Mus musculus: one gene and its partner. The protein of the gene in region 1 binds, or shares a complex with, the protein of each later gene. Links are inferred from orthologs where the notes say so. Each region holds a gene or a part of one and is shown in the gene's direction. Other genes may lie near its edges.

Evidence for each region.
Region 2: the proteins of Anxa11 (region 1) and Tardbp are in contact, whole or in part, in a cryo-EM structure (PDB 9FOR), measured with the Homo sapiens proteins. The link is inferred for Mus musculus from reciprocal best matches to the Homo sapiens genes ANXA11 and TARDBP. Residues at the interface, in NP_001148.1 of Homo sapiens: Gly56, Met57, Ala59, Met61, Ser62, Gly63, Phe65, Asn69, Pro71, Asn72, Leu73; in NP_031401.1 of Homo sapiens: Ala328, Leu330, Ser332, Trp334, Gly335, Met337, Gly338, Met339, Ala341, Ser342, Gln343.

What each region holds. Positions count from the first base shown.
Region 1 is NC_000080.6:25,869,433-25,873,237, forward strand, and holds part of Anxa11 (annexin A11), read left to right. Parts: intron 1-636; coding exon 637-749; intron 750-3,079; coding exon 3,080-3,466; intron 3,467-3,805. UniProt on the Homo sapiens protein: Binds specifically to calcyclin in a calcium-dependent manner. Required for midbody formation and completion of the terminal phase of cytokinesis.
Region 2 is NC_000070.6:148,623,967-148,628,516, reverse strand, and holds the start of Tardbp (TAR DNA-binding protein 43), read left to right. Parts: upstream 1-1,520; 5' UTR 1,521-1,836; intron 1,837-3,140; 5' UTR 3,141-3,154; coding exon 3,155-3,392; intron 3,393-4,550. UniProt on the Homo sapiens protein: RNA-binding protein that is involved in various steps of RNA biogenesis and processing.

The sequences.
Region 1 (3,805 bases):
ATCCAGCAGAAACGAACAAACGGACCAGGGAAGTACCTTGATCACTGTCACAGAGCATATCTAGCCAAGCTAGACCTTTCTCTGATCTGGCAGTAGTGACCTCAGTCCCCTCTTCAGCAAAAACACTGCCGTCTGTGACATCACATGTCAACTCCTCAGCCCTTACCTCAGCAGCTGGAGGTCACACTTCTGCAGACATGAATGAGTGGTTCAGAGCCTTGCCCCAGGACACACAGCCAGCCATGTGGTCTCCCAACGGGCTCCTTGATACCGTCCTTCACAGTGTCCCTGCCCTCTGACGTGGCTTCATTTCTCTCCATCTGAGAATCCTCAGCATTCCTGGAGTCCATGGCTGTCACATGCTCAGCTCCGCACAGAGCCTAAGGATGGATCTGTCCTCTCACCCAGTGGTGCTGGCTTTGAGAGGACAAAGCATGCCTGACTCCCCACTGGGGCTGGACCTGCCTTCTTCCTCTGCTTTCCCTGGCCCTCTTGTTCCATTCTTTCTGGGTCTTTATAACATTGGCTGGATGCTGGTCTTCCTTGGTTATCACAGCAGCCCCTCTGCAGCCCTCTTTTCTGTTCTGTCAGTGGGCCAGGGATACAGAGCTAATAATGGCTTGGTGTTGCTTTCAGGTGGTGGTCCCTGGGGAGGTGCTGGCTACCCTCCTCCCAGCATGCCCCCTATCGGGCTGGATAACGTAGCCAACTATGCGGGGCAGTTCAACCAGGACTACCTCTCAGGCATGGTAAGTCAGGCCCCTGCCAAGGTATCCCTGGGCCAGGGCTATAGGGATCAAGGCTGCTTACCCCAAGTTCTCAGGGAGACCTCATGCCTGTTTCTGTGAGCATAGAATGCTGAGCAGCAACTTAGAATATGAGGTCATCTACTTAACACCCACCCTACTCTGGCTCCCCCCTCCCCCCATCTATATTAGAGGAAGAGATTCTTGGCACTGAAGGTCTCTCAGGTCCGAGGAGATTGGGTTAGGCTGGTGCCTGCAGGAAGTTTATTGGGAATTTCTCATGAGCTGAGCACGAAGCCTGCAGGGAGGTGAGCATATGTGTGGAGAGCTGCGGGGGCGAGCACGTACAAGGCTGTTCTGGTTGGGTCTTGGTGCCGTGAAGCAGGTAGGTTAGAATGTACATGCTTTTATTTGTTGTTTTGCTTTTTAAAGGATGTTATTTTATAATCGGAAACCAAATGTGTGTTTAGGGGAAACACTGCTACTAGAAGGTACCCAAATTTATGCCAAGGCCCAGTTCTAGGTGCTGGGAATATGTGAGTGCAGCAAACAAAACCCCTGGGCTAGAGAGATAGCCAGGTCTAAGGTGCTTATTCCATACCAGCATTAGGCCGAGTGCAGTTCCCAGGACCCATGTGTACAAAGGCAGGCGTTGTCCTTGTAATCCCAGTGCTAGGGAGGCAGAGACTGGCAGATCCATTGGACTGGCTGACTAGCCAGTCTAGCCTACATGGTGATTCCATGACCAGTGATAAATACTGTGCCAAAAAAGGAGGACTTCTGTCTCCACATGCATCTGCGCACACACAAATCTCAGTCCAGGCACACTTAGCATCTGTGTCAAGGAGACAGGACATGATGTAAGTTAGCAGGTGACAATACTGATCAGTGGCAGGCACTTCTGGGCATCACAGCAAATGCTTAACATTTGGTAGGTGAATCTGTGAAGATGAAGACTTCAAACTCAGCCTGGGCAACATAGAGAGGCCCGGTCTTCGAGGGAAGGGCAGAGGTGGTTGAGGGAGGGAGAGAAGAGCAAGAAGCTAGGAAAGTAGATACACGGCCCTGATAGCATAGGCCTCTAACCTTAGCTTCTTGGAAAACTGAAGCAGGAGGATCCCAAGTTCATGACCTGTTTGGGCTACAAAGTGAGTTCAAGGCCTCCCTGGACAACTTAGACATTGTCTCAAAATAAAAAGGAGAAAAGAAAAAGAAAAGGAAAAGGAAAAGAAAAAGAAGCAGAAAGAGAATGGGGATGTACTGTTAGTAGTAGAGTGCTTACCTAGAATATGTGAGGCCATAAACTCAAGCCCCAGCCCAGGGCGGGAGGGATGGACAGGACAGTAATAATACAGGAGAGGTTCAGAGGTGCTGGTGGGGACTGGAAAGGGACCCTGAGCCAGGTGGTAGTGGTGCACACCTTTAATCCCAGCACTTGGGAGTTCAGGGGCAGCCTGGTCTACAGAGCAGGTTCCAGAACAGCCAGGGCTACACAGAGAAACCCTGTCTCGAAAAGTTGTTGTTGTTGTTGTTGTGGAGGAGGAGGAGGAGGAGGAGGAGGAGGAGGAGGAGGAGGAGGAGGAGACCTCAAACAAAGATCTGACATGGTAGAGAAATGTACTATGCAAATTTCTAGGGATGGCCAGTCCTTAAGGTGCCGTGGACCTGATGACCTTGGGGACAGTGAGCAGGCCTTGGTCATTAAAGAGGGGACGTGAGGGATAGGTAGGGTGAGGGATGAAGATATTGGGACCCATTTCTCAGTGGCATAAGAGGCTGAGGTGAGGATTCAGGCTTTTGTTCTGGGCATGTGCCGGGCCTCACCTACCTCACCTTGACTGACTGTTAGCAGACTGGTGTGACAGGGCCACCTCATGCCTGCAGAAGGAACCCCTGTACTTTCTGGGTCTTTGAGTGGTTAGCTCTACCTAGTTAGTGGCTCTTGGTTGGAAGAAGTAGCTTCCTCTTTCAGGTTCCCATGCTTCTTGCAGAAGGGACAGATTAGAAGTTCTGGTTCACATGCAGAGTCCATGTCAGAGCCCAGCTGCCCTGCATACACTGAGCCAGTGTACCATCATCAGTGGCCAGATTGTCCTTCTTGTCCCATAGTGGGGTGGCAGCAAGCCTGAGCCTAGCATTGTGTGCTGAGCCTAGCATTGTGATGCCTGCATCTATTGCTAGGTATACATAGTGCTGGGGGAGTGGTGGGGGGCGGTTCTGTAGGAGGCTCCCTGCCTAGAGCCATTGCAGAACTCTATAAGGGAAGGGTAAACAGACAAGGTGCTGTCTTTCTGGGCCTATGTTTCTCAGGCTCTGTTTTGTGTACTTGGCAGGCAGCCAACATGTCTGGAACATTTGGAGGAGCCAACGTGCCAAATCTGTATCCTGGGGCTCCTGGGGGTGGCTATCCTCCAGTCCCTCCTGGTGGCTTTGGGCAGCCCCCTCCTGCCCAGCAGCCTGTCCCTCCTTATGGAATGTATCCGCCCCCAGGAGGAAACCCACCTCCTGGGATGCCTTCATATCCAGCCTACCCAGGGGCCCCTGTGCCAGGCCAGCCTATGCCACCCACTGGGCAGCAGCCCCCAGGGGCCTATCCTGGGCAGCCTCCAATGACCTATCCTGGGCAGTCACCAATGCCACCCCCTGGGCAGCAGCCAGTGCCAAGTTACCCAGGATACTCGGGATCTAGTACCATCACCCCTGCTGTGCCACCAGCCCAGGTAAGTGCTTGTCCAAACTGCGTTCAAGCACAGATCTCTGGTCTAGCCAACAAGTTCTTAGAGGATTGAAGGGAAGGCTCAGGCCTCCAGCTACAACATACAAAAGAGCTCTAATTTCTCTTGTGTGCCCACCGAAGGCAAACACACAAGGTCTGGAAGCACAGCCCTGGTGGTTGCTCTTCCGTGAGATTACTCCAGAGGCTTCCAGCATCATGGCCTCATGCCCAGTAGGCCCCTTCTGTGACTTCCTAGACAAATGTGAAGGAGTCTCAGAATCCTCTCTGGATAGGGAAGATTGGCAGCTCCTCCAGGATTTATTTTGGCTCATTCTGGAGATCA
Region 2 (4,550 bases), on another chromosome or scaffold:
GCCAGGGCTACACAGAGAAACCTTTTCTCGAAAAACCAAAAAAAAAAAAAAAAAAAAAAAAAAAAATCAAAAAAAAAAAATGCAATCATCCTTTTAAACTACTGTTAAAGTTCTTGACTTTTCCAGGCATGGTAGCACAGGTCTGTAATCCCGGACAGTCAGGAGGCCAGGCCCAGGCTCTGCTGTATGAAACCTTGTCTTAGGAGACAAACAAAAAACCATTTTGGTGACTCACACCTGTAATCCCAACACTGAAGGCGCAGATTCAGGAAAGGCATAGCAAATCTGAGGCCAGCCTGGTCTACACAGTAAGTTCTAAGCCAGCCAAAGACTACGCAGAAATCCTGTTTTGTTTGTTTGTTTGTTAAGTTCAAAACCAAAAAGTAAATAATGCTGGGTGGAAGGACTCATGCCTATAATCCCAGCACTCAGATGGTTGAGGCAGGAGGACAGGCCAGGAGTTCCTGGCCAGCCTGGGCTCTAATGGAAGTTAGGGGCTAGACATTAACATCTGTTCTTCCAATGCCATCTTCTTACAAGGTAGCTGTGAGGAGGAAATGAATTCATTTATAAACTTAAAGTGGGAAGGCTTGGCCTGATGGTGATCTGCAATCCTACCCCATTCCTCCCAGAAGGGAGGCAGAGGCAGGAGGAACCCAGCAAGCTCAAGGCCAGCCTGTTCTGTACAGCAAGACCCAGTTTCAGTAAATAAAGCAACTGTGTAAAACCTTTGTGCCTAAGCTTTGAATCTGATACACCAAGAAATTCCAACCCTGAGTAAAGAGTCTACATCTGCTGCTTGGTGGTAGAGCTAGCCTTCAGCCTTTTTAAAGTTATACTAGGACTCGTCAACTGGAACCGAAATACTGAAACATCCAAGTAGTTTTTTGCTGTAGGATTCAGACCCTAGTGGGGCCTCTTTCTCATGGTGACTTCATGCAAGGTACTCAACTCTGTGCCTCAGTTTCTTCACTTATTGAAAGAGGAGAGAGTATCACGACTATCGTGTAGACTGCTAGGGCAGCATCCACACTTGGCAGCCTTGATGAGTTAAAGGACAGCCTGGGCTACACAGTGACTTTGAGATCCCTGTCTCTAAAACAGTATCTGATGGCTAAGCCCAAGGTCAATGGGAAGACACTTGCCTGCCATTCACAAGATTCTGGTTTGTTTTTCTCCCCCTAGAGCCAGAGAGTGCTAAAAGGTACTTGATACAAAATAGTACTTAGAACAGGGACCATTTTGCAGATCAAAGTTAATGTTTCCACGTTGGAAATTAACGAGCAAAGGCAGAAGACATTTAAGAGTCGCCTTTAGACTAGGAACCCAGGGTTCCCAGGGATTCCCCCCCAAGCCCTTACGCGTTCAGTCGCAGGCTCCGCCCCCTTTCCCTCCTAGCCCCGCCCCTGCCGCCCCAGTCCCGGCCTGCGCTAGTCTCGCGCATTCTCGGCGCGCGCGAGCTCCTCGACTAGGGCCGGCCGTTGGTCAGGCGAAGCCATCTACCGCGTTACGTAGGGGGACTCGGAAGGCCGAGTGGCCGTTCTGTCCTTCATCTGTCAGTTTTTCAGACCCAGCTGTTTTCATTGTTGCGTTTCTTTACTTTTTTCTATACGCCGAAGAGCCTGCTAGCATCCGAGCCTCTGGGAGGAGAGAGCGCCTGTGGCTTCCCTCGGAGAGCGCCCCTCCTGCAGGGAAGCCAGTGGGAGAGGCCGAAGGCGGGCGAGGGCGGGAGGCGGCCCTAGCGCCATTTTGTGGGCACGGAGCGGTAGCGCGGCTGTTGTCGGATTCCTTCCCGTCTGTGCTTCCTCCTTGTGCTTCCTAGCAGTGGCCTAGCGGGTAGGTTGGTCGCCAAGGCCGGCCTGCGTGCCTCGAGTGTTGCTTCGGAGAGGCCCGGTGCGGCCTGCGCCGCGGGGAGGGAGCGGTAGAGCGGGGCCTGGTTGGCCTCGCGCAGCCGCGTCGTTAAGGCCTAAGCGCGGGCAGTAGCCGGAGCGGGACGCCGGGCCTCTGCTTGGCTGTGAAGCCACGGGCGGAAGTGTGTGGCCGCCCCGGGTTTCCAGGCGTCCTAGTCCCTGTAGATTGTCGCTTTTGAGAATAACTGTTGTCACCATGGGACTTGGACCTCCGCGGGCCCCACCCTGGGCCCAGTTGAAAGGGGGGGAAAATCATCAACGTTGTCTGTCGCGCACGGCCTTCTGGGAAGCGGCGGCCTACCTCCCGGAGTAGCCGTCGTTGCTCCCTCGACGCCTAACTTTAGCCAGACCTTTCCGAGGATGAGCACCAGAACTGCTAGATAACTGTTCTGATGTCGGTGTTCGTGCTCCACCAGCACAGGGAGGGTTCCTCAGATCCCAATGCTTGGCTGGTTTTTTCCACGTTAAAGCACGTGCTAAACCCGATTCAGGTCCAGGCTATAGAAGAAACTTAATTCAGAATGGTTACGAAATACGGTAGCCTGTAATCTGTGCGCTCCAGGTAAGAAATGACGAGTGCAAGAAAAAAAATCGGGGCAGATACTTAGTTCTTTAACACCTTGTTTTTGTCTGGCTTTGTAGCCAACGGGCCACATGGTAACACTGTTGCCATTTTAGCACCGGAAGCTTATAGTGTGCGCTGAGAAAATAGAACTGGCGGGCAGAGCGCCACATGAACACCGGTTTTCCCTGTGGCTGCCCCGGAACTCAGTAGACTAGGCCAGCCTCGAACTCAAAAAGATCTGCCTGCCTCAAGAGTGCTGAGATTAAAGGCGTGGGTTATCGTGCTCGACAAAAATCACATTTTTTTTTAAAGATTTATTTTATTAATATATGTAAGTACACTGTAGCTGTCTTCAGACACTCCAGAAGAGGGAGTCAGATCTTGTTGCGGATGGTTGTGAGCCACCATGTGGTTGCTGGGATTTGAACTCTGGACCTTCTGAAGAGCAGTCGGGTGCTCTTACCCACTGAGCCATCTCAACAGCCCCCAAAATCACATTTTTATTTTAGAAAATACCTTTTCTCTATTTTTTTTTCAGGGATGGCAAAAGAAACATTTTAGGTAGCAGGAATCTTTTCAGGAAGTGGGAATAAAGTGGTGTGATAATAGCCAATTATGAAAAGATAACTCCTCTGATTTTCTTGCTCATTTCTTTTTCCTTTAAGAGATTTAAGCAAAGATGTCTGAATATATTCGGGTAACAGAAGATGAGAACGATGAACCCATTGAAATACCATCAGAAGACGATGGGACGGTGTTGCTGTCCACAGTTACAGCCCAGTTTCCAGGGGCATGCGGCCTGCGCTACCGGAATCCCGTGTCTCAGTGTATGAGAGGAGTCCGACTGGTGGAAGGAATTCTGCATGCCCCAGATGCTGGCTGGGGCAATCTGGTATATGTTGTCAACTATCCCAAAGGTTTGTTAATCATTTTGGTTTTGCTGTATTGCTGGCCATGGTTAGACTTCCGTGCCATCTTAATTTAAGTGAGACTATAATATCCAGGGCTTCATGTGTGCTGGGAGAATAGTCTATTGTTGAGCTCCAACTTGAGGGTTTGGTCGTTATGGAGGAATGTTTCCTATGACCCTAACTTTTTCATAAACTTTGTTTAGACTTAGACTACTCTGGCAGGTCAGCAGTTTAAGTAAATGGAAATTGAAAAGCAGGATTCTTTTTTTGAGGAGCATGAATTTAAATGTGAAGCTGGCAGAACATGGTCATTGCTAATTTTAGGTGGTGAAACCTAAATGCCTTAAAGATGCATCTGTTTTGTAAAAGAATTTGGCTTTTTGAAACGGGGTTTTTCAGTCTTTTGGGTTGTTTTGTTTTTGGTTTTGTTTTGTTTTTTCTCTCTTCCCCTTCCCGAGACAGGGTTTCTCTGTATAGCCCTGACTGTCCTGGAACTCACCCTGTAGATCAGGCTGGCCTCGAACTCAGAAATCCACCTGCCTCTGCCTCCCAAGTGCTAGGTTTGAAGGTGTGCACCACCACTGCCCAGCTTTTCCTTGCAGCCTCAAAAATCATCTTTGTCTCATCGTTTTTTGGATTTTCGAGACAGGGTTTCTCTGTGTGTCGTCCTGGCGTATCATCCTTTTAAGATTTGTGTTTTATTAAAGATTTATATCTTATGTGTTATTAATGTTTTGTATGTGTGTCTCTACACTGTGTGTGCACCTGGTGCAAAAGGGCATTCAACCTTCTGAAACTAAAACTGTATGGTTGTGAGCTGCTGCGTGGGTGCTGACACCCAAACCCTGATCTCAGAAGACCGAAAACACGACAGATGCTTTTAACGCCAGTGTTCTTACTCCATCTCTTCTTTTTCCCTCCTCAAAAAATACCAACTGCGCTAGCCCAAGTCTTGAGTTAGGGCAGAGCTACCTGAGATTTTTCTCCCTCTCTTACTATGGACGTTCTTGAAAGTTTGAGAAAGCTGGGTCTGTGGTGCACGTCTTTGATTCCAGCACTCAAGGGGGCAGAAGCAAGTGGATCTCAGAGATTGGGGATAGCCAGGACTACAACAAAGGGAGACCCTGGGTTGGGGACACTGGTGTTGGTTAGGCGTGTTGGCAC